Arabidopsis thaliana: one gene and its partners. The protein of the gene in region 2 interacts with the protein of the main gene of each other region in a pairwise test. Each region holds a gene or a part of one and is shown on either strand. Other genes may lie near its edges.

The links. Proteins that work in one complex are often made in the same cells at the same time.
Region 1: the proteins of NAC3 (region 2) and IDD1 interact in a two-hybrid assay, tested with the Arabidopsis thaliana proteins (one large-scale study listed by BioGRID).
Region 3: the proteins of NAC3 (region 2) and AT4G39820 interact in a two-hybrid assay, tested with the Arabidopsis thaliana proteins (one large-scale study listed by BioGRID).

What each region holds. Positions count from the first base shown.
Region 1 is NC_003076.8:26,639,634-26,648,794, forward strand, and holds IDD1 (C2H2-like zinc finger protein), read right to left. Parts: upstream 5,106-9,161; 5' UTR 4,251-5,105; coding exon 4,127-4,250; intron 4,036-4,126; coding exon 3,639-4,035; intron 3,555-3,638; coding exon 3,280-3,554; intron 2,988-3,279; coding exon 2,281-2,987; 3' UTR 1,953-2,280; downstream 1-1,952. Other genes in the region: AT5G66720 (Protein phosphatase 2C family protein), read right to left, coding at 37-346, 416-912; AT5G66740 (spindle assembly abnormal protein (DUF620)), read left to right, coding at 7,481-7,768, 8,016-8,357, 8,443-8,925. UniProt on the Arabidopsis thaliana protein: Transcription factor promoting the transition to germination by regulating light and hormonal signaling during seed maturation. Acts as a positive regulator of phytochrome and/or gibberellin action.
Region 2 is NC_003074.8:11,029,448-11,036,958, forward strand, and holds NAC3 (NAC domain containing protein 3), read left to right. Parts: upstream 1-4,217; 5' UTR 4,218-4,391; coding exon 4,392-4,602; intron 4,603-4,681; coding exon 4,682-4,959; intron 4,960-5,091; coding exon 5,092-5,559; 3' UTR 5,560-5,861; downstream 5,862-7,511. Other genes in the region: AT3G29034 (uncharacterized protein), read right to left, coding at 896-1,156. UniProt on the Arabidopsis thaliana protein: Transcription activator that binds to DNA in promoters of target genes on a specific bipartite motif 5'-[AG]CGT[AG](4-5n)[AG][CT]ACGCAA-3'.
Region 3 is NC_003075.7:18,474,006-18,482,036, forward strand, and holds AT4G39820 (Tetratricopeptide repeat (TPR)-like superfamily protein), read right to left. Parts: upstream 4,056-8,031; 5' UTR 3,977-4,055; coding exon 2,693-3,976; 3' UTR 2,692-2,692; intron 2,444-2,691; 3' UTR 1,953-2,443; downstream 1-1,952. Other genes in the region: AT4G39810 (Polynucleotidyl transferase, ribonuclease H-like superfamily protein), read right to left, coding at 603-695, 789-914, 1,019-1,082, 1,165-1,211, 1,293-1,730; AT4G39830 (Cupredoxin superfamily protein), read left to right, coding at 5,098-5,391, 5,457-5,549, 5,628-5,840, 5,935-6,129, 6,226-7,179.

The DNA of each region.
Region 1 (9,161 bases), on a different chromosome or scaffold from region 2:
GTTCATTCACAAACAAAACTCTGTGAGCTAACTAACCTTATCTTTTAAAACGATGATACAAGCCGTGGAGGAGCCTTTGGCTTTGGTTTGAGAATGTGCTTTCTCTAACACCACTAAAGGGTCGATAGAAGAACCTTTATGCTGTTCTTGAATTGCAGATACTGAATAAGACATAAGCTCACGCGAAAACAGTCCCGCATTAACACCAACCTCAGCCCAACCGCCAACTCCATCTGCAACTCCAATAGCTTGTTCTTCATCGCAGATAAAGTGAGCGTCTTCTCCACCTGTAGCTTCCTTTTCAGGATGCGGGAGATAACATGACCCCGACACTAGCCTAAGACTCCTACTCAAAATATCAAAACATTGAAACCAATTGGTAACAAAAAGATTAAGAAAGTGTAAAAGAACTTACTTAAGAGATGTAGTAGTAGTTGGTGGTGACTCTTGAGAACCACCGTTAAGAGAAGACAGCTCATGAGCCGGTCCAACCGAGAAACAAGCCATAGGAGAAGTATGAACACTCTTAGACAATGTCCCAAAGAGTGCACGACTCTTTTCTAGCGGATCAACAACAGAATAGTGACAAACCAATCGGTTCTTCATCATTCCCCCTCTCTTCCCAAGTCTCATGCTAGCTACAGGACAATTAATAGTGAAGCTACCACCACTAGAACGCTTCTTAGTGAAGTCTAAGCCATTTGAACAAGTAGTAACCAAATCATCCAAACAAGCGTCTCCAAACACTGGCAAAGAACCAGAAGCAGCCATGGCTTGACGAAACCGAGAACTATCAGAAAACAATCTCCTTTGACCCGAATTGGAGAAGAAGCTCTTACTTTTCCCAGCAACGATTCTTTGAAACCCAAATTGAGAAACTGGGTTTAATCTCGAGAGAGCAGTCGCTGACATCTGAATCAATAATAATCAATAAAAGGAAAGATTTTTACCAAAACTGAACAAAGCTACACCAAAATCAACAGACTATAAAACGAGCCCTTAATCATTACCCACTTCAAATACTTGAGATAAGAGATAAACTATTACCGGATTCTTCACTAGTCAGGGCTTTTTCCGTCTTCTTCTTCGCCGGAATTAGGTTAGAGAAGAGAGGAAGGAATATATAAAGATCTCTTGTTTCCGCTACCTACCTGCAGCTGCGAGCTCCTCCGTAAAACTCATTAGCCGATGAGGGCAAAATCGGAAACTTAACTTGTTTCTTCGTGTTCAGTTTTCGATGTCTGAAATTTCTCAGCGAAATTAAAAAATACTAAGAGATAATAATTTAATGGTCTTGGACTTGACATTTAAGGCCCAATAGTATTAAGCTTGTGGACTTGAGTAGTCTTCAGCATAATGACTAATGAGCTTAAAATATCAATGGCCTATTAAGAAAGAAACATTTCACAATCAACCCCAATAGGCTTCTCTCTTCTTGCTTACTGTACACAACCAATTTTATTTTCTTAATATTGAAAACTACACGATCATTGCTCGAGTCCAAGCATATCAATATTGATCAAATGATAAAGTCACACTAATCATAGTTACTGATTTCTGTTAAACTTCCGATTTTGTAATACAGTAAATATGATGTGGGTAAATAAATTATCTTGCTCTCCAAAATAAAATACAAAATAGTGCCTTTGTGGGTTGAATTGTCATGATAATTCTATCACTATAATGGACCTACGTAGCGATTGAAACATCAAAATCCAAAATCTTTGGTCGATTCTCCAATCAAATCACACTGGTCAAGTCTCAAATTATCTGGCCAAATTGAGACTATTTTTAGTTCTGCAAGTTTTTAGACAAATATCACCACCTTCCAAAAAATTTATCACTTTTGGGAGAAGTCAATTCAATCTCATCTACGAATTGTTCCCATTAATGCAAAAATTCGATTCAGCGTTTTAAGACAGCAAGCAACACCCAATAATAGAAACTTCAAACCCCATTGATTGTTTTCACATGGTAGAGACTTCCATCAGAACTAGACCAAGATTTGTAACCATCTGTAATAATTTAGCTGTCATGTCACAACCCGAGTTCAAATTATCTCTCAAAGTACAACATGTGAGTTATAATAAACCACACACCAAAAAAAAAACAATATATTTTGTTGTTGTTGCTAGGAGATTTATGTACTTGAGAGAAAACCCACTTGGGAATAAAACTAAAGCTTTCACTAAAACAAGATACCAAAACATCTAAAACCTGAAACAAACTTGATGAACTATATACTACACTGGTCTACTACGTTCATGCCTTTTGTCTCTCTTACGAACTTCTTCCAATGTCTTTGCCTGAAAACTCCCCTGATCCAAACAGATCGATTCCACCTCCACCACCTATAGAAGTTAACAGAGCAGACAATCCACCTCCGGTATTACCACCATTACCAACAGCTCTTCCTAATCCAAGAAAGTCTAGTGTCGTCTGTTTCGGACCAAACACCGATGAATTCCCCATCATGAGCTCTTTTAGACCCGATCCGCTACCACCGCTGCTACAAGGTAGTCCAAGTCCAAGACCAGGAGCTAATGACAATGCATCATGATTGCTGAGTTCCATAGATGAAGAAGTAGTTGAAACTATGCCTAACCCGCGAAGCAACGAACCTCCTGATCCCGTGGAACCCATTTGTGCAGCTTTTTGGAGCAATGCAGTAGCTGACATTGCCGGTTGAGGAGGGAGAGGAGTTAGGAAATGTGGCGGATCTCGTATTGTTGGTCCGAACAAAGAAGGGTTCGTCGAGAGACAGAGAGAGATGGGTTCCATGGAGGACGATGGTGCGAATAGACTTGGAGAAGCGGTTGAGGAAGCATATAAACTAGGCGAAGCTGTTGATGATACAAACAAACCTGCGTATCCACCATTGTTGTTACTGTGATCATTGCTTAGATCCGATGAGCTAACATTGAACCCGATCGTTCTTGAAGCTTCCTCAATAATGACTTCAGGATGATTGTTGTTTTCTTGAGATTCTACAAACAAAAAGAGATGATGAGTCATGGACATAAACTTTGAGGCTTTAATTATAATTAATGGATACATTATAGGCTTAGCTATGGAAGACGACGAACACGATTCAGTTTTTTAGCAGACATCAGAAATATAACGGCGCTACAGACAAAACCAACTAAACTCCAAGTTCACCGACCAGTTTACAGTTGGATTATTTTAAAGAGTTCTTGTTTCGGTTAGAGAATTGATAAATTGTTACATGTAGCGATTTTGCCACATTTTGCCATCAAACAGAGAGTTTGTATTATGTACCTGGAGAATTCTGAATCGGCAAAACAGAGGAAGATATGATTTTGACAGACTCAGTCTCAACCGAAATAGCCGGTGCCGGAGCTATAGCAACCGATGGCGGAGAAGAAGGCGGTAATGACGGAGAAGACTCAACAGCTGCTGGAGATTTTTGCTCAATTTCAGGATTCTTCCTAGTGACAGTTTCTGGATAAAGTTTCTTGCTTTGAGTATGATTCTTCGCACTCTCTTCAGCCAAGGCATCACAAAAGGCTCTATGCGTTATAAAGCTATCTCTCCTGCAACAAAACCCAATCCACAAGTTAGTAAAATCCATAAGAAAGATCAAACCTTTGAATATGTTTATAACAATTTGTCGCCACCTAGAAAACAGAGTTCCACAATCGCATTTATACTCCTTGGTGCCACAAATCTTCGAATGAGCTTTCCAATCTGATTGAACAGCATACTTCTTAGAACATTTCTCACACTTCCATTTCTTCTCGCCGTGTTTCCGACAAAAGTGTTTCTTGATTCCAGTAAGATCTCCAAGAGCACGTGAAGGGTCATGATGAACACAGCCAGAAACAGGACAAACATAAACCTTCTTCCTCACTTCTTTAGTCGATCTCTGTCGAAGTTTCCATGGAAGATTGTGACCACGACGATGAAGCTGAAGATTCTGGTCACGTTGAAAACCTTTGTTACAGATTTCGCAAACGAATCGATTCGTTGCCATAAGTGTTTTAGGTGACAAAGCTATCACTTCAGCGTCTGGATCTGAATTTAGACAATCAGTGAGAACAACTAAAAACAGAAAATTTCAAACTCAAAAAACAGAAAAAAAAAAGTTTGGATTTTTGAGAAGTACCAGGCATTCCAGGAAGATTCCGTTTCTTCTTCCCGACGGATTTAGGAGTTAGATTTTGGTTTCCGGTCGATGAGACGCTTGCATCGCCGGAAACTGTAGAGGAATTATCTAAATCAACCGGCATGTTTCAAAGATACTAAATTCCAATCTTTGAACACAAAAAGGAAGAAGCAAATCTCAGCTCAGCTCAATCTAGGGTTTATCATCCTCCTCCTACTCTGTTTAGTCTCTCTTTCTCTCTCTCTTCTTCAGCTACCAGTCAATCTGCTTTTCGTAAAAATCTCCTTTTCCCCTTTCCGCCACCAAACTTTTCTGATAACTCACTCTCTGACCTCTCTTCTTCAAAAAGATTTAAAACCCCCAAAAGAAAAAGAAAAAAAATCAAAACTTCATTACCCAAGAAATCTCTTAATCATTTAACCCAGACTCTCTCTTCTCCACACGCATCTTTTATCCACCGTCCACCGATCTGATCCAACGGCTGAGATTTCACCGGAGACGAGTTATCCTTACTACTTCCGGCTTGTTTCTCTCTGAAGAATCACCGGAAAAAAAAATAAGGCGGCTTGTGTGTGAGACTTTGTGTGAAAGCTTCAACCTTTTTTTTCTTTTTCTTTGGCTTGTCCAAGAAAAAGGAGCCTTCTTCTTCTTTTCTCTCTCTGGAGACAATTATACTAATTTTTTTCTCTCAACTTTTCACCCTTTTTTTTTTGTTAACAAACATTTTTTATACATAATTGTGTCGACTTTCAAGTTCCAAGTATCTAAATCTGTATTTTGGACTCCCATGCAAATAATTAAAATAGAATAATCTTTTTGTAGATTTTAAATTGAAAACGGTGTAGAAAGGTTAAAAGCACCAAACAAAACGAGTAAATAGATATTGTAATAATTTTTTCACCTTTATGGAAAAGATTATATCATAGACGATGTACACAGATGAAAATTAGAAAATGGCATGTGAATATATGCAGTACCCAATGAATGCAATATCAGGTTTGTATTATTTTTCTATTGTATCTCTACATGTTACGTAATCAAACGATCAAGTAATTTATTAATATTGTCGATGGCGTAGAAATTATAAATTTATTTTATGTCATTGTTTACTATATAGATTTTGAGCTAAACGACTTATTTTGTCAAAAGATATATCCGTGTTTGGTTTAAGATTGGGTTTTAGTATTTCCAATATTAATCTAAATTCTTAGCTTATGAACATGTCAATAAACAAAAAAATTATTTTACTGTCACTGTCCTTAGACGGGGACAAAGGAGGGTATTACCGTCGCGTTGTCGGACCGTAAAATAATTAACCAAATTTTGTTGTTGAACGAATAACATTTTTTACTGTGGGAATTTGTCGTGTAGCATTACGTTCGAAATCGCAATTTGTTTTCTTCTTTGTGGGTGTATATTTCTGGTTAACGAAACTATAACCCAATTTAATGCAATGTTCGTCTGTTTTTGTTGACTTTGACCCTTTTTTGGTAATATTCGTTCAGCTTTTGTTTTAACGTTTTCATTGCCTTGTAGGCATCTGAGAAGCTCAGATTCTGACACGTGTCTTTTGTTATCTGAATTTGCATCCGTTGGATAAACATGACGCTGACAGGTGGATTGAAAAGTAACCAGCTTGGATTTCTGTGTATATGTTACACCGCCACTTCCCTTAATTTCTTCGTTCTTAGTTAAAATAAAAAAGGTTTAATTTATGAGTAAAAGTATGTAAAACGACAACGATTACTATAAGAATTAAAATTTATCTTTGCTTAGTAATTTGCACTTAAGATTGGATTCAAATTTTGTAAAAAGCGAATGTTACATATATGTCCATTGAAAAAATTGCATTTGACTTTACAAGCATTGAAATTAATTAATTTGGGACCCCTTTTTTTGTTAGTTTCAAAGGAAGAATTATTTTAGGCTGAGATGGGTCCCTCCATAAACTCACTATTCTGCCAGCATACAAATTCCTTAACATATGGTCCAAATAGCAGTTCCAACCACTAGTATCCAATAATAATCTGAACAAATTATCTTTCTTTTTTTTTCCTGATAATCTTGTATTTGTTTGTTCAATGAGCTTAATACGTATATTAGTTATGACTTATAACTAAATACTTTGACTCACTTGATCCGTACACATTGATTTCGTTTATTCAAATCCGAACAACGTAATGATCTTTTTGGGCCGAGTTATTTGTATTCTCAACCTGAGTCCAACCATGCTTTATGGGCTTTTCTGTTTATTTATGCATGTAAAGTTTATAATGCTTGCAAATAACCACATATTGTATGAATGTAATTACTATGATTTAAGGGCACTGCTTTTCTGTTTTCACGTTGTTTTCGAAATTGCTATTGCGTGTGATATCTGTGTTGGACCAATTATTGAAAAGGACAAGGCTGACTCTGGTTTTTAATGAGTAGTCCCCATGGGAGTTATGTTCATTTACCACACATTTTTTTGTATAGTATAGTATGAGTTTTTATTTGATATCTTTTATCTTCGGAAAATAAATGGTTCAAATTGTTTGTCTAAAAATGCACACATGAATATCTTGTGGTCTCACACAATTGTAGGAAACAAATTAATATTTGTTGCGAAAATAATGTTATTATTTTATCATACGAAATCCTAGAGAAAATGGTGGCAAAAGAGGCAAAGACTAAACTAATGAATTTAAAATATGAAAATGATGGAATGACTGGTTTACCAATATTACAGTATATTGTAATTTTATAAAAACGAATCCTGAAGAAGAGGGCAAACCCCAAGACCACGCAAATCAGTCTACAAATATGAAAATTTCCAATAACTAGAAAAACATGTGCATTTATCTTTTTCCATCATTCGGATTTTTACAATGGAAATTTTGACCACTGAGCGCAAGTGTTATAGTATTTTATTATTATCCAATATTAATATCATTATTCGGATCCATGCATTCTATATAACTATGTCCACCATCTTACTTGTGTCTATGTTGCAACTTCAACGTCGTATATATATAGGGATTGTTGTCACGAATACAATGCTAATTAAGGAAGATTGTGACTTCTCGGAAAATTTAGAACTAATTAAGAGTGGAACTAAAATGCCAATGAAAATAGCCTAAATCAAAGGAGAACCACAAATATAAATTGGAAGACCTTAAAAAACAATTAAACGAGGACGAAACAAATTTTGGAATCATCAATTATACGAAAAAAAGAAGAAAGAAAAAAGAGGTTTCATGAATCACAGTAGTGCTGACAATCTTCGAACCATTTGTGGGTTTCATACAATCGATCACCAATAGAACAAAAGAGAAACAGAGGAACAGAAAGAATAGAAGGAGTGGGAAGTGTATGAGGAAGCTGTGTCCGAACATAGACAAAGACGATGGTCTGGAGACGGTGTTGGAAGTTCCGATACCGGAGGAGATGTTTTCCGGTATGGGCAACAACGTTGCACTTAGGTGGCAAAATATGATGACGTGGATGAAAGCTCAAACGTCTGATAAATGGTCGCAACCGCTTATCGCCGCTCGTATCAACGAGCTCCGGTTCCTTCTCTACCTCGTTGGCTCGCCTCTTATACCTCTCCAGGTTCAAGTCGGTCACTCTGTTCATAAGCCCGTCAAAGATTGCTCCATTGTAAGTCATTCAAAATCAATCCTTATGAAAACATAACAAAGATGTTGAAAATATGATTCCTCTTTTTTTTTTCTTTTTTTCTTTTATGATCAAAACCCAAAAAAGTCATTACCCTGCTTCGTAAGTATTCAACATAAAGTTGTTAATCCATGTGTTGTACTCTGCAAGTCTGCATTACATTATTCATCGTACACAGAGTCATCAACTTCAGTTTCATTGTTTTTTTGCTTATGAATTACGATTGCAGCAAGCTTCAACGGCGAAATACATTGTACAGCAGTACATAGCAGCGACGGGAGGACCACAGGCGTTAAACGCCGTGAACAGCATGTGCGTCACGGGACAAGTGAAGATGACGGCGTCGGAGTTTCATCAAGGAGATGATTCGGGCGTTAATCTAAAGAGCAACGACGAAATGGGTGGTTTCGTTTTATGGCAAAAGGATCCAGATCTTTGGTGTTTGGAGCTCGTCGTCTCCGGTTGCAAAGTGATATGTGGAAGCAACGGTCGGCTTTCATGGCGACATTCCTCTAACCAGCAAACTCCGGCGTCTACCGGAACGCCAAGACCTCTCCGCCGGTTTTTACAGGTCCAATCCGGTTATTGATTTTTTTTTTGATGTAATGTCCGGTTCTCAAAATGTTGAACCGGTGGTTTATTTATTGTTTGAGCAGGGGTTAGATCCTCGTTCGACGGCGAATCTGTTTCTTGACGCAACGTGTATCGGAGAGAAGATAATCAACGGTGAGGATTGCTTTATCTTGAAACTGGAGACGAGTCCGGCGGTTCGAGAAGCTCAAAGCGGTCCGAATTTTGAGATAATTCATCACACGATATGGGGTTATTTTAGTCAAAGATCGGGACTTTTGATTCAGTTCGAAGATTCGCGGCTTTTGAGAATGAGGACCAAGGAAGACGAAGATGTCTTCTGGGAGACTAGTGCTGAGTCGGTGATGGATGATTACCGATACGTTGACAATGTGAACATCGCTCACGGCGGGAAAACATCGGTCACGGTTTTCCGGTACGGTGAAGCGTCGGCGAATCATCGGAGACAGATGACGGAGAAGTGGAGGATAGAAGAAGTTGATTTTAATGTTTGGGGTCTCTCCGTTGATCATTTTCTTCCTCCGGCCAATTTGCAGATCGAAAAATGATTTAGCTTTTTATTAAAAATATTGTTATTCGTTTTTAGCCGATATCATAACTTTTTGAGATACATTATCAACACACTCGTGCAACTGAGATATTCTTGACACAATTTTTGCATTTGAAATTGGCAATTTTGTACTACTCATATAGTTTGAAGCTTCAATTCACTACAAAGGTTATTACTAATTGTGTCGACAAATCCAGCAGATTTAATAATGCCCATTCCATTAAATGTTTTTTA
Region 2 (7,511 bases):
GTTTCCTAAGTCCTTATGTTATGAGACTGATGGCATTAGCATATATATTGTATACATAAAGAAATTGTGTATATTTACAAAGTCAAGTGTCTGATGGAAATTTTAAAAAAATATTTATCATAAAATAAAAAACACATAAGAAGTCAAATTAAAGCGACCCAATAACGAATCTAACGCAAAATTATATACGGCCCGGACATTTCCTCACGATCGTCGTTGTGTAATGGTGTTTCATTTTGATAATGTAGTCGAAGGTGGTAATGATTTATTAAATACTATACACGTAACGTTGCTAAGTATCTAATTATATTATATAAAAATAAATAGAAAGATAGGTGATGATCGTTTTTATTTAGTTAAGTTACTGCAGAAATAATATTTGTAATTATATATATTCTTTGTGGTAATATGTGAAATATTTTAAGTATACATTTTAGATAGCGTTGATTTGTTCAATATGTATATGACTATCATGATTTATTTTATTACATGTTTTACATCAAATTTAGTTTCTTTTCCTTAATTTACAGCTAAGACATGTACCAAGTCAAAGTCAACTTTTTGTACCCCAAAGAAAGTCAACTTTAGCCCAATATGTTGAAGAGTATCATTCCGTTCATATTACTTGCGTGACATACATATTATCAAGGATCAAAATTACATTGTTGCATCCTTTTCTTTCAAATTTGTATCAAAGATCAAAACATATTCTTACAAGCCAAAAATAAACAATAATCCGTAAAAACAATATAGTGTTCGTCACTTTAATCAAAAGTCCAAGATCCAACAAGTGAAATAAAATATAAATGAAACAAGATGCTCATAGATATGTATATTTGTCATATACATAAACAAAAGAAGAAGGTTTGATTTGCTTATACAGAAATATTGTTATTTAAAGAGAGATGAAACCTTCACTGACAAGCAAGCCAAAGAAGAGGACAAAGAGGCCAGCGCCAATAGACTTGCCCGGATCAACATATGTCTGAGAATAAGCACCGAGGGTTAACGCACCTCCAACGAGTCCGATGACCAGAGATTGCATGTTTCTTCTGCTCACGCTTCTTTGCCTCGGCTTCACCTTCTCTTCTTGATCTACAACTTCTTGTTCTCGTTTCTCTTCTACTTTCTCCGTCTTTCTTCTTTCTCTCACCATTTTTAAGATTCTTTGATGAATGAAGAGATTCTGATTATGATTTTATGATGTTGGTTTGGTTGTGATTTTGTAATTATAAGTTAATGATGGAGACAAAAATGTGGTCTTTTGGGGATTGCTTTGAGGCCTTTTGATAGACAGAAAAGTCAACTCCTTATAGAAGAGTAAGTGGTCGGTATAGATCCAAGATTATTAATTTAATTACTATTTTGTTATAAAAAAGCAAATGGTGAGAGTTGAAGTTTAGATATGATGTATCATGTTTACACTTATATAATGTTAGTCTAAAAAATAAAATAAAAAAATAATAATTATCACTATATAAGTTATTGCCATTCTGTCTAAATTTTAACAGGTCAGTGAATTAAATTAATATTATTAACAATAAGATATGTTATCATGTATTATCAATAAGAAATCTACTAAGACATGTTATCATGTGCGTAGGAGTTTTGGCCCAATAAATGCTTGTGCACTCCAAGAACATCACAAAGGATGAGAATGAGATGCATTCTTGCTCTTCGATTTCTTAATAAATGTATAATATTGACTTTTCTTGGTTCAAAAGTTTGTTTTTATCTGTTGCATCTTGAGTAGGAAGAGATATTTTTGCTATCTTGGATCCACCTACCAATCTTGTTTCTGACCATTCTTTCTATTCGTTTGCAATTTGGTTGCTGCTAAGTTGGATCAAAACGGCTTTATTCCATAGTTTCAAATGCCTAGTGCTACTGGCAAGATAAAGCGAAGGAAAGTACGCAGAGCTTAGAGCTTAGATCTTTTCTTAGTTTTGTTTACTTACCTATGATGGAGTTTTATAGGAGTACGAATAACGCATGCAAGAAAACTGAACCCCTTATAGATATAAAGATGTACCTTTAAAAAATAAAAATAAAAGATGTACCTTGACACATAGACTAATTGGAAAACTTACAAAAGGCGTTTTTTTCTGTGTTTTTTTGATTAAAACCACAATACCGTACCAATCACAATACTTTTAACTGATTTGTGTTTTTCGAAAAAAAAAAAGTTTGCGATTTAATTTGTCAAATGAACAATACATTGGAACGCTTTCCAAAAGAAGAAAAACTCTTTACCTAGCGGTTTTAAGTAAAAGTGCATTCCAACAAAGAGATCAATTAATTTTTTAACAGCTGTTTATATTATTATTTTTGTGCCAATGTTGATTTCAATAATAGAGGAAACTAAACCGGATAAACCGGGTACAAAGAAAGAGATAAAGACCAGTCTTAGCTAGTTTGTTTTATTTAATTAAAAACTATGAAAATGCAATTACAGGAAATAGAAACATAACAATGCTTTTAGAAATTTTGACAATTATTATCTACTATAAGCTTATATACGTTCTATAATCAATTTACTTGTAAAAAAATTACTTGTAAAAATGATTTTTTTTTTAATTTTCCATAATGAAACTATTCAACGGATTTAATAATATGTATGTTAAACTTTAAAATGTATATTTTGATTTATTTGTGTATATGGTTTATAAATATATGTTATTGTTTATTTATTAACACAAAAAATAAATAATGATTAATATATATATTTATATATATATAATCTATAATCCGCACCACAAATAGATTTTTCACCAATCAAACATTATTCCGTACTGCTTATTTTGTACAAACCACAATTGTCCCACAAATATATTTTTCACGCACTTACCGCAGTTAATTCGTACTGCACGGTCATAATACTTTCTCCGTACACTAAAAACCGCGGTGACCATTCAGATCCATAGAAATCATCCATCGTAACTGTAACGAGACGACGACCACCACTTTTCATGGACCAAACGTTTTTTCTCGGTATATGGGCCAATCTCGTCTGACAGTTCATTTTTCTGGAAGCTTAAATATTTGTTTACTGATTCTATAATTCACCATATAATCTTTTTCTTGTGTTTGTTTTCACTCATACGAACTAACAATCGATTCACGGTTAATCACCCATCATAAGTTTGCTTTACTTTAAATGCGCTTAACTTTAGAGTTTTCTTTAGATTTTTAATCAAAAAAAAAAAATAGTGCATTTTAATAACATATATGACCAAATCAATTTATTTAAATTTTCCTTATACACCACTATATTTCAATATAAGTAGTAATATAGAAGAGAGAACAATTAATTTATGCATGTAAATCCACACAATTTTTACTAAAATAAATAGATTAGATGAGATTCTTGTAATTATAAAAATCGTGTTTACTACTACGTTACAACAATCTAGACGTAAAATTCTACTCTTTCTTCTATCGATGTGTTATAGATTGATCGACAATTATAACAATCTTGAACATACATGATATAGAGTTTAAACTCTAGACGTAGAATTATATCTGGACAAGTCAGGAGCTAAGCCACAATGTGTTGCTCTAGTTATAGTTATAGTACTTTTCTTAAGTTAGAAACCTCAATTGCTTGAAAGCTCAAGCTCTTGCCCATTGCCCAATATAGAACTAAAAATGGTTTCAATGGATAAAGTCATATAAAAAGCTTTATATTTTCTTCTTATGAAATTCTAAATAATTAGTTTAAGGAATGGACAAAAGCGTCATCAGTGATGTGATAAGATCGTCTTATCGCATCAACAGAATGGATGGGAAACCACAAGTGAAATGTTTCTGGTCAAATTGAAACTTGGAGAATATTAAAGTTTTTGAAACAGAAAGATTTAATAATTATATCAAATCTTTTTAAATAAAAATAAAAAATAATTATATCATAAGAAAATATCTTCATAATAACATCTTAATAAGTATCCTATTGAGTTACGCATCTTTGTAATAGAAACCAAATACAAAATAAACCAAATCAAAATTTATAATATTTTTTTGGAACCTTGATACATTATGGTTGGTTCAGGTCTACATCAGATTGTATATATATACTTAATTATAAAACTGACATATTATTATATTTTCCTTCGGATAATCTAATTAAAATACATTTTAGAAAATAATATTTTGATACCAAACAGTGACCAATTATTGGTGAATAAAAACTATAATAATATTTGTTCTTCATCTTATACAAACTAGTATAAGAGCTTGGTTGCTCAAACCATTTTCTCTTCTCTCTGAAAAGAAACTCAACTTTTTTTCTTTATCTTTAACATCAAAAAACTTTTTCGATATCTTTACAACCATTAAACAAAAAATTTGGCCACTACAAGTTGAAAAAGTTTTGATTATATCTAATCGCTGAAATGGATTACAAGGTATCAAGAAGTGGGGAGATAGTAGAAGGAGAAGTAGAAGATTCAGAAAAGATTGATTTACCACCTGGTTTCAGATTTCACCCAACTGATGAAGAACTTATAACACACTATCTAAGACCAAAGGTTGTAAACTCTTTTTTCTCTGCTATAGCTATTGGTGAAGTTGATCTCAACAAAGTCGAGCCTTGGGACTTGCCTTGTAAGTTATAGGTCATTTATTTTCTAGGTTTTTAAAAACCTTCTATGTTTTGTTACTTCTAAACACTGTTTTTTTTTAGGGAAGGCTAAGCTTGGGGAAAAAGAGTGGTACTTCTTTTGCGTAAGAGACCGAAAATACCCGACTGGTTTAAGAACGAATCGTGCTACTAAAGCCGGTTATTGGAAAGCTACAGGGAAAGATAAAGAGATCTTCAAAGGGAAATCTCTTGTTGGTATGAAGAAAACATTGGTTTTCTACAAAGGAAGAGCTCCTAAAGGAGTAAAAACAAATTGGGTCATGCATGAGTATCGATTAGAAGGCAAATTCGCTATCGATAATCTCTCTAAAACCGCTAAGGTAACATTAATATATTAATATATATCATAGTTCTTCTCTGTTTTTGTTGTGACATGATGTTTTTTTTATGCAAAGCCAAAGGTAATATGTATATTGATTTATAATGTTTTCTTGTGTTGTTTGTGGATGCAGAACGAATGTGTTATTAGTCGTGTTTTTCATACACGGACTGATGGTACGAAGGAGCATATGTCCGTTGGTTTACCTCCGCTGATGGATTCTTCTCCATATCTAAAGAGTAGAGGACAAGACTCTTTAGCCGGGACCACCCTTGGTGGGTTGTTGTCTCACGTTACCTACTTCTCCGACCAAACAACCGATGACAAGAGTCTTGTGGCCGATTTTAAAACTACCATGTTTGGTTCCGGATCGACTAACTTTTTACCAAACATAGGTTCTCTACTAGACTTCGATCCTCTGTTTCTACAAAACAATTCTTCAGTACTGAAGATGTTGCTTGACAATGAAGAAACCCAATTTAAGAAGAATCTTCACAATTCAGGTTCATCAGAGAGTGAACTAACAGCGAGTTCTTGGCAAGGTCACAATTCTTATGGTTCCACTGGTCCAGTGAATCTTGATTGCGTTTGGAAATTCTGAATTTGGAAAATCGAAAATTTGGATGTTAACTAGGGGGTATATAGGGTTTTTAAAAACAGTGTATATATGCGTTATGTGTTAGCTTTAGATTCTAGGATATACAAAGATGACACTAATAGATTCTTATAACATTTTGTAAAAAAAAATCATTGTAGTGAATACTCTCTTGCCATTTGAAATCCATTGTGTTTGCATATTTAAGGTGTTCATAAATTGTCATGCTGAATTGTGTTTGCATATTCTCATTATTTCCCTGTTTGTAATTAATGATTGTAACATACCTAAGTAGATAATATTAGATTAAAAATATGACTAGTTTACCAAATTTTACTTGTTACATTTTGGGTTCTTAATCAAAATCAAAAGGCTGCAAATGGTTGTCTCAAGTAGAAAATATTAAGTTGAAAAAAACTGAGATCTTAATAAAACTTCTGATAAACAGAATAAAAACTAAACAAGTGAAACAATAAGGCTTCATGATGAAAAGTGAATTTCAGGAGATTACTGGCAGCAGAGACACGAAAAAAAAACCGAAACTGATTCGGGTCGGGTCATAAGCTGCAAAGCGGATCCCTAATTTTGATATATGCACATAAAATTATTAGACAGATTCCCCAATTGTTTTTACAGGGATGTCCCAGTACTTGTGCAATCATAAACAGCCTTTGATACTCACAAAAAAAAAAAACGAAAATAACGAAGAAGATAGAAACGGCGGAAGAACATAAGTGTGTATTGTCTTTTAGAAACTATCGGTGTGATAAACAAGCTTATATATAAACTAGTAAAACCCTAATCATGTGTTTGTTGATATTTTGGGCTTTTTTGACCTAAATATTAATGGGCTTTTATTATATGTCAAAATGGGCTTTGTTTTTTCATTCACAATCCCGAGAAGAACTTACTCATTTCATAAGCAAATCAATCATTCACATTTTCGAATATATAATTTAGTCATCTTTGTATATCCTAGTCATTTTTGATTTGCTATACAATTATAATTCCAAGTCTATCTCTTTATGATAATTGCCAAAAGACATTTCTAAGGGAAGACACGGATAAATACCATTTCTCGAATTGTAATCTCAATAACTCTCAATAATAGAGGGTCAAAACCTCTTTTTCTTATGCCAATTGCCTTCAAGCTTTCAATATAAAAAATTGTATTCATATATATATATATATATATATATATATATATATATATATATATATATATATATTTAATAGGAGCAATTAATCTCAACTCCAAAGTCTCCTACTCTACAGAAATTATTACTAGTTTGAGTAGTTTATATGTAATGGTATCAACCCACTCTTATCAACAAAGCATATTTCCCAAGTCAATTTTGAGATTTAAATAAGTTTTTATTTCCGGTGAAAATTATTATTAATCTGTGGATTTCCAACTTGAAATCAAATTGAGTGGAGAGACTCATATCTTATATATACTATTTAAGATTCTACTCAATTTTCAATGTGGGACAATATCTCTAATACGTCTCTTCGAGATAATGGTTCTTCTGGCCATTCATCTCGATATGTTCAGACATTGATCAGCGGGTCAACTACTGATTGAGCTGATGTGGATTGGGTTGAGCATGTGCAGATCGTGGTATGATATTTTATTAGATTGTAGGCTTCCAACTCAAAACTAATTGGCAATAAATAGAGAAATCCATCTCTTATATATACTTTTTAAAATTGTACTCAACTTCCAGTGCAAATCGTACTCAACTTCCATGCAAAGCCGTGCCGGCCACTAACCATAAACCATTTTTTTAGGCCACAATTCCAAGAAAATTGTGTTACTTTGGTTGGTTTGAGCTGACTCAAATATTCTTTATGCTTCAAATTCAATCTATTTTAGTGACATTTATTCCAATATATAATTTGAACATTTGGTTTTGTATTGTTTTTGTTATGCTTTATTTTTATATTTTAAAATTTCT
Region 3 (8,031 bases), on a different chromosome or scaffold from region 2:
TTTTTTTCTTCTTCCCAATAACGTAGATATATTTTATTTGTTTCGTTTCATATTTGTTTTTGACAAACTTTGTTTCGTTTCACATTAATAAAGTAATCAATTATTTTTGTCAATTGGGAACAGTTTATCCATTGTTTCGTTTCACATTAATAACAGATAAACTGTTTCCAATTTAAACAGAATAAGAATTAAATATTTGATCAGAAACTTATCCAAAATTAAATTAAAAACAACTGATTATAAGTTGGACAAACTTTTACGTTGAAATATTTAATTATAAAATAAGATCAAGAGCTTATCCAAAACTAAATAGAAATGAATAAATACGACAAAAATATTAAAAACTATTACGTTGAAATATTAATAAGTCGTAGATAATACGACAAAAGAAAATATATTTAAAGATGACAAACAATACCAATGTGATGTATTCATAAAAGTTTGAGGTAAAAATCAGATAAAAAGTTGTTAGTGACAAAATATAAACAATATCAATTGAATTATTTGGTAATAGAGTCAATGAAGGTATAAATATTATATACAATTAAATTCATTCTTCAAACTATTTATAAAAAAATTAACATTTAGGAGGGATGCAGTAATCATCTAAGCAAAGAATGAGAATGATTGATCAAGCTTTGGAGAGTTTGATTGCCTTGAGCTTTGCTTAACAGATTCTTCACATTTTGTGTCATCTGTATTAAACAAAAACATTTAAAAGAAAGACAAAATTTAACGGCAATTTAAATTCTTTATGATTTGAAGAGAGGGGAAAAAAACACAATTACCTTCTCGAGACTACCCTTCGAGTAAGGCATTGCCCTTTGGGCTATTTGGTAATTCCTTCGACTTCTTGTCATAATCTTAGAAGAAGTGTGCCATTTTCCTTCCAAATGATTGGGAAGTGTAGATTCCTGTATATTTAGGTGATATATAAACACATATACAAATGAGTTAATTTGTATATTTGAAATAAAAATCTTGAAAGAAAAAAAAGAATTATGAGTATACGACATACCAAGAAAAGCACTGTTGCACAATGCTTGAGGACCTCTAAATTCATTCGAACATCATCGAGACTCCTGCAATTATATGACATATGTGCGTTATTTCACCTTAAGGAAAACGTAACAGTAATAGATACAAACATATATGATTAGGTACCTGTGCTTTTGAACTCCAAGACCAAAATAGGCAGCCAAACTTGCCATCTACAAAATAGTGCACAATGACCTTCAATATATAAATTCCTAAGATTTCTAATGCTTACAAAGAATCTTGGATAATGGTACCTTCATGTTACCAGCTCTTTTGCCAAACTTGTCACTTAATAACCCCAAAGAATCAATGATCCCTGAGGGTTCAGGCGCAGCTTTACCGATCTCAGCGAAAGCTTCTTTGATCCTAACGCAATCAAATCTTCTAATGTTATGACCTGCCCAAATCCTACCGTTCAACAAACCATGGATTTTCTCAGCCACGTCTTCAAAACTTGGTGCGTTCGTAACCTTAGCCCTGGTGATCCCATCTGACCTAGACGACCTTATTGAGACCACCGACAAGTCTTTAGGTTGTATAAGCGTTGTGAAGCTCTCTAGCTCCTCGAGTTTTTTTGGACATACGATGATCGCCCCAAACTCTAGTATGTGAAAATGTTGCCCTGCTTTGTTTGGTACGTTTGTTTCTAGATCGAAGAAGACGATTTCGTTGGGAAATGTTTGGACCGCCATATCAGATTTTGGTTTATGTTCGGTTTGTTAATCCTGTGAGTAGGTATGTGTATATATTGTGGATTTGGGGTTTGCGTTTTCTTGTGATAAAAGTTAAGCGTAGATTTGTGTTGGAGGGTTACTGTGGGGATTATTTAGCTTCGCGGAGAAAATTTTGCTCTGTAGGGTAAAGTAAGAATCTTTACTTTGCTTTTTCCAAACCAATAAAAAAGGGTTGTTATATGAAAGAATTCGTTGGTAGATTCATGTTCTACGAGAATTGATTCCTTTGATATTGTCATAAAGATATACAAGGAATCTGAAAGCTGAAAGGGAAAATTTCTCTCAAAAACTGGTAATATCCCAAATTATTGATCCTTATATGATCCTCTCAACGGGAATATTCAACTCAAAATACATGGCTTTAAATATTTGATTTACCCAAAATCTCTGTGCATAGGAAGAGTTGCAAGAACACACATTCTTCATTAGTGGTTAACGGCAAATGCAAAAAAACGTTATAAGAAGATGAATATGAGAAAACGAATGCAGGAAGTTACCAAGTGTTTGGGGGCAACAAACCATTTGCTAGCTTACACAACAGAAAACTACAACGAATTTGAAGCCGGTAATTGCAACAACAGAGTCTCCAGCTGAGGCCAAACCCACCAAGATTTGTTTCATCATTGAAGACATAAACTCTTTGACTAATTACCTTTGTTTGGAATGAAAACCTGCAATTTTGAATGCTAGATGATCAATTTGCATACCTCCAATGGAAATTATATGAAACCAAAACAGAGAACAAGAAGTTTAGGGCGCTAGAGAATATCATCTCTCTTATCTACCTAACCAGATTGTTTCATATTCTTAAGACTTCACAATTTATCGAAGTCATCATAACATCACCAATCAGTTCTTAGACATGCCAAAACCTAAAAAAGGGAAAAATTCAAGAATGAAACAAGAACAGAGACAATACCTCAAACTCTGGTACAAGATGAATCAAAGTCATCAGGAGCAACACGTGCAATCCAATTGTTTAACGTCCGCTTAACATCAGTATGATTAACATAAGCCAACTCATACATACTACACAAATTCACCACCAAGCTCTCGTTCAAAGCCGCGGTTGGCACTCTCTCCAATGCACTTTCCATCACCTTAATCGCATCCGATAGATCTCTCAAGTACATCAAACAAAGAGCCTTATTGTTGACAGCGATAATATCAGAGTTATCCCTTTCAATGCATTTGTCATACTCTCTCACAGCAGAAACATAGTCCTTTGCCACAACATAAACCAAAGCCTTATTCCTACCAACAAGATTGTTGAACTGTATCTCGTTCAATAAACCATTGCTCTTTCCTTCATTCAACATCTTCTCAACTCTATCAAACGTAGTTTTAGCTCCTTCTACATCACCAAACTGCATCTGAACAGACCCTAGTTTCGAAATCAAAACCGGGTCTAACGGATCACGATTGATCAATTCCTTCATCAAATCCAAAGACACCCCAAATTCCTTGTGACCTAAATGAAACCCTAGCAAGCAATTCATCACAAATGTCTCTCTTTTCTTCCACAATTCCACAGAACTCTCTAAACTCTGAGATTCTTTCTCTCTGATTCGATCTCGAACAAAGTCAAGCAAAACATATAAACGATCTAACCCTTCCTGACGATTACCAAGCTTAGTCGGGATCAAAGCGTAGAGCCATCGTAAAGAGAAAGGAACCATAGATCCTCTCCGATTAGGGTAAATCTCAGGGAACGATTCGTACCTGTAATGCGTCCCGTCGAAATCGTGCAAGGAATTAAGCTCATGAGAAGCTTCATCGGAGCGACGAAGCTTCGCGAGAGCCATAACTTGGTAAGTGAGATAAGTGAGATGCTCGTGAGGCTTTGTGAGGAGGAAGAGAGCTCTGGCTTGAGATATCTTCTCGAGGATCGCTTGCCATGAGCCACGGGTCGAAAGCTCGTGGAGCGAGCCGAGATCGTGTGTTAATTCGTCGAGCGAATTGAATCGTTCCGGTGGTAGATCGGCGACGGATGTGACTTGGGATGAGGCTAATTCGAATGCCGTCGGTTCCCCTGCATCGGTTGACTCTGCCATGGCGGTGGAATCAGTGGAGGAGGGATTGAATTCGGGTCGGGTTTCGGATTCGGGTAAATCCGGATCCATTGCTGGAGATGACTCCGTGAACATTGTGGAAGTAACCTGGTTTGGTCTTTGGATTTGGGTCGTCTTTCCAATAGATACCATTACGCTAAATTCTTCTTTTTGGCATAAAAATTTAGATTATTTTTTATTAAAAAAAAACATTTGATATGATTATGATTTTAGGCGGTTTATTAAGATTTTTTTATAATTAGATCAAAAATAATTAGATCAAATACTAAAATTGGAGGAGAATCCAAACTTTGGATTTCATATATTTTATTTTTTAATTCACTAGAAATGAAACAATAATTAAATCCAAAATTACAATTAACTTGTCTCGGATCGATTGATCAATGTTGATTTTTTGTCTTATGACTTTTCTTCGTGTAACGAAAGGAGTTACTTAAATGGTGGAGTAATGGTAATAAATACCATGTTATAATATTGTTACATACTGATAATATTATTTTCCCCATGTTACATGTTACATCATTGATTTTTACGTAGATATTTAATATAACGACCAAAAAAAATTAAGCTCTGACTTGGTCCAAGAGATTTTTTCTCGATTCTTACCATTGACCCTGAGCTAAGACTTGACCAAATTAAAAGTCTATGTGGAATGTACTGCAATAAGTAAGTCTTTTTAATTAACTAAAGAATTTCAGACCTAACCCCATATTTTTTTCGGATAAGGGGTATGAACATGTAAATTATTCAATTTTCTATTGTAGGTATTTAAATTCGAGATTTTTAAAAAATGAAATGAGTGACTAACTAGCTAGTTCAAACCGTAAAACCTATTATTCATTTAATGATTTGATTAAGTATTTTGTTTTAACAATAGTTTAGGCTTTAAAAATCTTACAATCAAACATCAAAATATAATGTGGTTTTACTACGGAAAAAGGAAAAGCAGTGTAGAAGCATCGAACATACTTGACTTTTATGACTTACAAAACACATGAGGTACACAGAATCATATACTACAATTTTACTTTGCTAATAAAAGTCGATGTATTATTATTAGAAATTATCACTAAATCGTAGAAAAGTGAAACGCGTTTTCTCTCCAGTTTTTCTCCAAAAGACAAATGAGTTATCTGTAAACACATGACATGCAATGATCTATCGTTATGTATATATGAATTGATTAATCTCGAACTATATATTGAAATCTCAGCTTCTTATCTTCTTTGATTCTTGGAGACACGATTGGAAAAATGATGAGACCGAAGAGATCATCAGACACAGTCCATGTCTTCAATCTTATGGTCCTCTGTTTCATTGCCCTGTTTTTTTCTTCCGTCCTCTGTCAGGGAAAGATCCGGAGATTCAAATGGGAAGTGAAGTACGAGTTCAAGTCACCGGATTGTTTCGAGAAGCTAGTAATCACAATCAATGGTAAGTTTCCAGGTCCCACCATTAAAGCTCAACAAGGTGACACCATCGTTGTCGAGCTCAAGAATAGCTTCATGACTGAAAATGTCGCTGTCCATTGGCATGGAATCCGACAGGTACGTAAACATCCTCGTAAGCACTCGGTGAATGACTGAAAAAGATTGATTTATATATGTTTCAGATTGGGACTCCATGGTTCGATGGAGTAGAAGGTGTTACTCAATGTCCAATTCTTCCTGGAGAAGTCTTCATTTACCAATTTGTCGTTGATAGGGTAAAGAGTTATAAAACTCACATTAAAGTTTCAATCTTTCTTTATGTTTTTATGTTAAGTTTTGAAATTTGTTTGTAGCCTGGTACATACATGTATCATTCACACTATGGGATGCAGAGAGAGTCTGGATTAATCGGAATGATTCAAGTTTCTCCTCCGGCCACAGAGCCCGAACCGTTTACATACGATTATGACCGGAACTTTTTGTTAACTGATTGGTATCACAAAAGTATGTCAGAGAAAGCCACCGGTTTAGCATCCATACCCTTCAAGTGGGTCGGTGAGCCACAAGTGAGTTCTTTTTTCCATCACTCAAAAGTCAGATTCTTGTTTGATCGATCAAATTTTATGTTTATGGATGATTCTTATTTGGATATATTATCAGTCGCTTATGATACAAGGAAGAGGAAGATTCAACTGCTCAAACAACCTAACCACTCCTCCAAGCTTAGTGTCTGGAGTATGTAACGTCTCAAACGCTGATTGTTCGCGTTTTATTCTTACGGTGATTCCCGGAAAGACATACAGGCTTCGAATAGGTAGCTTGACGGCTCTCTCTGCTCTCAGTTTCCAAATCGAGGTACTTAGCTTGAGAATCAAGCCAATCATTTTCATTGTCTTCTCTGTTTCTTTCTTTTTCGTATTCTAATGGAAGATGGGTTAAATTAAACAACAGGGACATAATTTGACAGTTGTTGAAGCAGACGGACACTACGTAGAACCATTCACGGTGAAGAATCTCTTTGTATACTCCGGCGAAACTTATTCCGTACTTCTCAAGGCAGATCAAAACCCTCGACGAAACTATTGGATCACCTCAAGCATAGTTAGCCGTCCGGCGACAACTCCACCGGCAACCGCTGTACTCAACTACTACCCGAACCACCCACGACGGCGTCCTCCCACGTCGGAATCATCCAATATCGTACCGGAATGGAACGACACGCGCTCCCGTCTTGCACAAAGCCTAGCAATCAAGGCGCGTCGAGGATTCATTCACGCGCTGCCGGAGAATTCTGACAAAGTCATTGTGCTTCTGAATACACAAAACGAAGTCAACGGATACAGACGTTGGTCGGTCAACAACGTTTCCTATCACCACCCTAAAACGCCGTACCTAATCGCGTTAAAGCAAAACCTCACAAACGCGTTTGACTGGCGTTTCACGGCACCGGAGAACTACGATTCTCGAAATTACGACATATTCGCGAAACCCCTTAACGCTAACGCGACGACGAGCGATGGAATCTACAGATTGAGATTCAATTCAACCGTGGACGTGATTTTACAAAACGCGAATACAATGAACGCAAACAACAGTGAAACGCACCCGTGGCATTTACACGGTCATGATTTTTGGGTGCTTGGGTACGGAGAAGGAAAGTTTAATGAGTCGGAGGATCCGAAAAGGTATAACCGGGTCGACCCGATAAAGAAAAACACGGTTGCGGTTCAACCGTTTGGCTGGACGGCGTTGCGTTTTAGAGCGGATAATCCTGGCGTTTGGTCGTTTCACTGCCACATTGAATCGCATTTTTTCATGGGAATGGGGATTGTGTTCGAGTCTGGGATTGATAAGGTTTCTAGTTTACCTTCTTCTATAATGGGATGTGGTCAGACTAAACGCTGATTATATTGTTTAATCAAATTCGAGTAGAAAATATTCATTGTTTAATCATTGAGACACCTGTTTTTTTTTTAGCCAATGAGACACCTGTTTTATTTAATGTAAGTAATGTTAGATAACAAGGTGGATATTTTGCTATAATTTATGTGTCACAAATTTAGCAATGGTTTGGTTTACCTACGTTATGAAAACTCGTTGTGATTGGACCGGGGACAGATTGTGGATAATTCACATTCAATTTGTTAACTGAATCATATGATCACTTTATTTGTTTCTGGTCTTATGTAAAACAGTAAAAGTAAAACCAATCAATGAGTTCTTCAAACAAAAAGAAACAAAAAAACAATCATTGAATATTTAATCTTTCAATACTTCTATTGAGTTAAAAGACTAGGACATGAACACACTAACACTAGATACTATAATATTCTATTCCCTTGTTTTAGTGCTATTTTTAGGAATTTCTCATATTTATAAGCTTCTGTACTTGTTGTATTTGTGTCTATAATTTTCGTGCTTTGTTCATTTCTTATTAATATTTTATTATTAAAAAAAAAGATTCAAAGTTTCAAAGAAGAATTATTATTTTTTTTGGTCAGAAAGAATGTTATGTGTTTAGTAAAAATTCTATTCAGAATATTAAATAGTAATTTTGGACGTCAATTGGTATTTGTAAATAGATATATATACACATTATAAATTAATAAATAAAATACACTAATTTTAGTTTTCTTATAAACTAATAGAAACAAAGAAAAAGCCAAATATATAGAAAATTGACAACAGAAAAAAAAAGTTACACTAAAGAATTAAAAGATTACTACTACTCTATTCTCAAATTTATAGATTGAAAAC